2 linked regions of the Macaca fascicularis genome follow. Each later gene encodes a partner of the first gene's protein in a complex. Links are inferred from orthologs where the notes say so. Each region holds a gene or a part of one and is shown on either strand. Other genes may lie near its edges.

Region 1 (3,659 bases):
ATTGTAGCATTGAGAGTAAATGTTTACTTTGATAAAGACTAGTTTGTTCTGATTACTGTGCATCACTAGTTCATAAGAAATGCCCATATATTTTATGAAGCAATACCTGCCTTCTTTTTTTTTTAACAAATTATCATTGTGTTCTAGATTAGCTAATAGTCAGCTGGATAAAGAGAAAGCAGAATTAATCCATCAGATAGAAGCTAACAAGGACCAAAGTGGAGCTGAAAGCACCATACCTGGTAATATATTTTAAAAAACATGTTAGCTACCCCCAGGTTTTTGAATTTGGGTTTACCTTTTTTTTTGTTCTTTTGGCTCAGATTTCTGATCATTGTCTCAGTGTAAAATCAAATTCCTGATAAGTTTTGGATCTCTTGTCTCTCCTCCATGCTATTAATATAAAAATATTCCCATTTTTCTCTTTGTGTTGTTTATACTATAGAGTAGCAAGTACCCAAGTGTTTTTCTCTTTGTTCTCCATCTGGGTGTTACAGATTTAATCACAATGCAGGGCTAAGCAATGAATACTAAATCTGTTGCTTCCAGTTTCTAAGTATAGGCTCTTTCAAGTCCTCTGAACATTTTTAAAAACTGCAAATAAGTAAATACTGCCTACATTTTTTTCCTTTTACAAAGTAAAAAGAAAGTATGTTTCTGCTGCCTTCCATTCCCATTCAAAAGTGATTACTAATCATTCCTCATTCCTACATATACATACACACATATTTTATGTACATATATATCACACATATGCATACATGTGTTTATGTGTTCATATGTATAATAGATCCTCATTATTTGTGGATTCTGTATTTTCTAAATCACCTGCTCACTAAGGCGTGTATGTAATCCCCAAATCAACACTCGCAGCACATTTGCAGACATCCACAGAGCCTTGGAAAGTTTGAATAATCCAACCTACATGTCCCCAGCAGAGGTTCAACAAGGCGGTGCTCAGTATCGTCATTTCAGTTTTCATAGAGAAATGATCAAAGGATGGAGACGGTAGAGGGCAGCACAGCATAGTGCAAGAAGCTGTGGCTCTGGGGCCTGTTGGAAGGGATTTGAATCCCAATTCTGAGGCTTGTTAGTGCTTTAGGCTTAGGAGAGTCACGAACGCTTCTGAACCTTTTCTTATGTAAATAAATAGAATTTACCAGGATGAGTTATCTTTAGGATTTAAGATTATCATGTGTGAGATATGTAGGTGTATGTATGTATATGTATGTCTGTACATATTTCCCCTAGCAGCAGTGGTTTGATATTCACTAATTGGGCTAACTTTATAGACTAAAACTACTGTGGATAGAGAATAGACTTTGTTTGCATATACATATATATATTTTCTTGGCAAGTGACATAAAATTGAACTCATACTATACACATGTCTAGCGTATTTGCCTTTAACAGTTTATCCTGGACATCTTGTGAGGTCTGTTCATAAATCTGTCTCATCCATTTAATAATTCTATAGTGTATTATTGCATGTATAAGCATATTGAACCATTTATGTTTTGGTGGATAGTTTGCTTCCAAGTTTCTGCTTTTATAAAATATGATTAATCTCTTGACCTTATTATGCCATTGTTTGATAGTATGATAGAAATGCCATCCTCTGCAAAGGATTATACCAATTTATATCTGAACTATCTTTGACTATTTCTTGTAGCTTTTTCAATATGGTATGTAGTCCTATTACTAATTTGTAATAAAAGCCATCATGTGTGAGTTGTACTTGACACTATGCTAACTGCCTTACAAGCATTCTATATTTACACCCATATATGATAGGTATTACTGTCTCCATTTTATGTGATAAACAGATTCAAAGTGGTTAAGTAACCATTCCCCAAGGTCAGCTAGGAAATAGCAGGATTAAAATCTAAATCTATGAAACTCCACAGCTCCTTGGCATTCCTAGCCCTTAACCACTATACTGTGCTACGTCTTGGTAACTAAAAGTACCTACTAAATACTCTCAAAATATGCCTTATAGCAGCCTGCTTGGTTTGTACTAGACAATTTTATAATTTTCCTTCCATCCATATACTAACCAGGGCCAATAGTGCTTAGCTTCTGAGATCAGAGATCAGGTGCGTGTGCATTAAGGGTCATATGGCCATAGTTCTCTAATCTTTCTAAACCTGTTTCTTAAGGAAATTTCTGAGCCTTCAAAATTCCTTATCTCTGATGTGAAGTAGACAGATTACCTGTCATTTTTCTAAGATTAAGGCTTAAAATCAAACCAGAACTGTTTTGGAAACTCTAAATCACTTTCTATATAAGTGGTAAGATAACTTTTAAGATACTTGTCCCAGGCCCAGCACAGTAGCACACACCTGTAATCCCAGCACTTTGGGAGGCTGAAGCGGGCGGATCACCTGAGATCAGGAGTTCGAGACCACTCTGGCCAACATGGTGAAACCTGTCTCTACTAAAAATATAAAAATTAGCCAGGCGTGGTGGTGCTTGCCTGTAATCCCAGCTACAAAGGAGGCTAACGCAGGAGAATCGCTTTAGCCTGGGAGGCAGTGATTGTTGCAGTGAGCCAAGATTGCGCCATTACACTCTAGCCTGGGCGACAGAGTGAGACTGTCTCAAAAAGAAAAAAGGATACTTGTCCCAGCCATGAAAATGTTTGCTGCACCTTATCAAACTTTTAGAATTTTATTCTTCAATGGCTGTAAAATATGACTTGACTCATTAAATGTAGTGTAATGTAAAGAAAAGAGGTATCTAGCAAAGATAGCATTAAAGCAAAAATCGTATTTGCCTGCTGATAAAGTTAGAGGTATGTTAACTTGCAGGGTAAATCCAATAAATAACTTTTGTGCTGTATTTGTAGACTTTTGTTTTCCTACCAAAGTATCAGGGCTATCTATGTCTTATTTTTGTATTACACAGCTTGCATGACACATTTTGCACGTAGTAATTGCGCAGTAAACATGTAATAACCCACGTGGAATAGCCAATGCTGTGTTGGATAGCGGGAGCATTTGGCCAGCTTATGGTTATAGCCCCTTACCCAACAGTCTGCTTTTCTTCTGTTGTAGTTTTAGTACCTAACAAGTTTTCCTGGCTTTAAGATTTTTTCCGTGTAAAATTTCTATCATGTGAAAAAAAAAAAAAAAAAAAAAAAACAACTTGGCCTATATTTCTAATACCTAGCAAATAACCTCTTTTTGCCTGCTATGAAATTACAATACTTAATGGAGGGAGGTAGCATCAAGTGTTTACATCCTTAAGTATTTCAGCCATAAAATCCAGTATTTTCCTAGTTCTAGGTTTCGTAAAACAAATCTCTGTTCTCTAGAACAAAGTCATTACTTTGAACTCATTCGTAGTGGGAAAAAGCTGAGTTTAACTTGTATAACTTTTTTGACAGATGCTGATCAACTAAAGGAAAAAGTAAAAGATCTAGAGACACAGCTCAACATGTCAGATCTAGAAAAGCAGCATTTGAAGGTAATGTGTATTTTAGTATCATTTTGTGAAAATAGCTGTTGAAAACTATGTTCATTACCATCTTCGAGTTTTCAGTACGTATCCTAAAAAATTCATGTAATAGCATCTTATATTTGACCTTTATATTGCAAAGTTAATTATGTTCATCTGACTAGTCCTAATATATTTATTAAATAAGAGCTAACAAAAAA
Region 2 (2,519 bases), on another chromosome or scaffold:
TTCAGTCTTCCTTCCTCTTCCTCCTCTTTCTAACTGTATTCTTCCATCTCTCTATCTTCTTCTTTTTTTTTTTTTTTTTGGAGATGGAGTTTCGCTCTGTTGTCCAGGCTGGAGTGCAGTGGCGCAATCTTGGCTCACTGCAACCTCCGCCTCCCAGGTTCAAGCAATTCTCCTGCCTCAGCTACTCGAGTAGCTGGAATTACAGGTGCCTGCCACCACACCTGGCTAATTTTTGTGTTTTTGGTAAAGATGGAGTTTCACCATATTGGCCAGGCTGGCCTCGAACTCCTGACCTCAAGTGACCTGCCCACCTCAGCCTCCCAAAGTGGGATTGCAGGTGTGAGCCACCGCTCCTGGCCTCACTATCTTCGTCTTCATCAAGAGCTGATGAGACTATGAGCTAAGGCAGTAGCAGTGGGGCTAGAGAAGAAAGGATTGCCAGAAATGTTAAGGGAAAAGACTAGTCAAAAATTATCCAGACTTCTGGCTGTGTGACTAAGTGGGTGGTGGTGCCTTTCAATAACAGAGGCAATACAGAAGGAGGACCAGGTTTTGAGGGAAAGAGGATGAATTTAGTTTTCAGTATGTTGCATCTTGAGGTACTTTAGGACATCTAGGAAGAGGTATCCAGTAGGCATTAAATATAAGGGACCAGGTCGTAGGAGAAAGTAGAAGCACACAATAAATTGAGGAGTTGCTATCATATGAAGTCATTGCTGGAGCAGTGTTAGTAGAAAATCACCAAGAGACAGTATGTAAAACAGGTTTATTTTTAAGATTATATATGCAAGTATAATGTGCATATTTTGTAAGGATATAACTTATAGGTCAGTGAATTTTCACAAACTGAATATACCCCTGTAACTAGTACCCTTTCAAGAGAGAACATTACCAGCACTCCAGATGCCCCCTTGTATAAAGCAGATGTTCCTAACTGGGTATCCCCGGGCTGCTTCAGTGGTTTTCTGGATTTCCCTGAAATTGTTGGCAAGACTTGTATATGTATGGTTTTTTTTTGTTTTTTTTTTTCCTGGTGGAAGGGTCTTTAGCTTTCATCAGGCTTTTGTAGTTTTTTGTTTGTTTGTTTGTTTGTTTAGAGACAGGTTTTTGCTCTGTTGCCCAGGCTAGAGTGCAGTGGTGCAATCATATTAATAGCTCGCTATAACCTCAGACTCCTGGGTTCATGCACTCCTCCCATCTCAGTCTCCCAAATAGCTAAGACTACAGGTGTGCACCACCAGATCCTTTTTCTTTTTTTTTGGTAGAGATGGAGTCTCACTATGTTGCCTAGGCTGGTCTTGAACTCCTGGCCTCAAGCAGTCCTCCTGCCTCAGCCTCCCAGAGTGCTGGAATTACAGGCATGAGACACTGTGCCCGGCCTCATCATAATCTTTTTAAAAGGGTGTTCACATCCCAATAAGGATGAAACCCGCTGGTGGAGTGAGAAGAGAACTTAGAGCAAAACCTTAAGGGGACTATTTGAAATAAATTATTGAACTCTTGAACACTGTGTACTATTCTGTGCCTTGCTGGGTTTTTTCTCTAATATACTCTATCTTAGGGAATGTTTGTAAGATTAATTTAGCTTTTAGTTACATAAAGAAATAGAGAAAGGCTATTTATTAACTGGTCTTTGAAACTTACACTACTAGCAGTTACCAACCATTGGTCCTAATGTTAAAACTGCTTTATAGGAGGTGTTATGAGTTTTTTAACTAACCTCTTTTAGATGAGCAAATCTTAAAATTTTTGTTTATTTTTAATTTAATTATTTTGTTTATTTTTGTGTAAGCCATGAATTATTGTATATAGTATGTTTCTAATGTGCTATTTTTAAATATCCAGATTTTGTCACCAGAAATTTATCACAGACTTGTTCCTTTTTTAAATTTCTAATTTATATTTTCTAAACTTTTTTAATAGATGAAGGTTATTCTTTCAGCAGTGTCCTGTATTATGGAAATGAAGCTACCCTTCTTATTTTTGATCTGCTGTTCTTCTGTGTTGTGGATTTGGCTTGCCAAAATTTTATTTTAGCATCCTTCCTTACATATCTACAACAAGAGGTAAATTTTAAAAATTTTTCTACATTTCCCTTCATTTTCTTGAGAGAAATATGTTAGAAGTAGATATTTTCATAGCAGAGAGTAACAATGTCTACTTTTACTACAATTTTGTAAAGGTTTAGAATATGACTAACCCCACCAAAAGGAGGAATAACATTTCAAACAACTGTACTCTGTCCTTTAGGGTCAATGAAATACTGAGGTCTAGTGGAGGGCATCAGTTGCTTGATTATACATGGAAGAGGAATCCTATAGGAAGACATTTAACTACTAGTCTCCTAGATGCTACAAGTGAACAGTAATTAGAGTCCCATCCACCCTCTCCACCAGATGTTAAGTAACAAAAAAACAGGCACTGGAGAGCTAGCTCAGGGCTCAGCACCAAAGGGAAGCCCCCTTTAGCCTGCAGCTTTGACACCTCGTCTACCAGTGTAGATGAAAAGCAACTTTGTG

Evidence for each region. Proteins that work in one complex are often made in the same cells at the same time.
Region 2: CEP290 (region 1) and TMEM67 share a complex: the UniProt entries of both Homo sapiens proteins name them as parts of the tectonic-like complex. The link is inferred for Macaca fascicularis from reciprocal best matches to the Homo sapiens genes CEP290 and TMEM67.

Annotation. Positions count from the first base shown.
Region 1 is NC_088385.1:94,984,829-94,988,487, reverse strand, and holds part of CEP290 (centrosomal protein of 290 kDa), read left to right. Parts: intron 1-147; coding exon 148-242; intron 243-3,388; coding exon 3,389-3,468; intron 3,469-3,659. UniProt on the Homo sapiens protein: Involved in early and late steps in cilia formation. Its association with CCP110 is required for inhibition of primary cilia formation by CCP110.
Region 2 is NC_088382.1:103,464,441-103,466,959, forward strand, and holds part of TMEM67 (meckelin), read left to right. Parts: intron 1-1,923; coding exon 1,924-2,066; intron 2,067-2,519. UniProt on the Homo sapiens protein: Required for ciliary structure and function. Part of the tectonic-like complex which is required for tissue-specific ciliogenesis and may regulate ciliary membrane composition.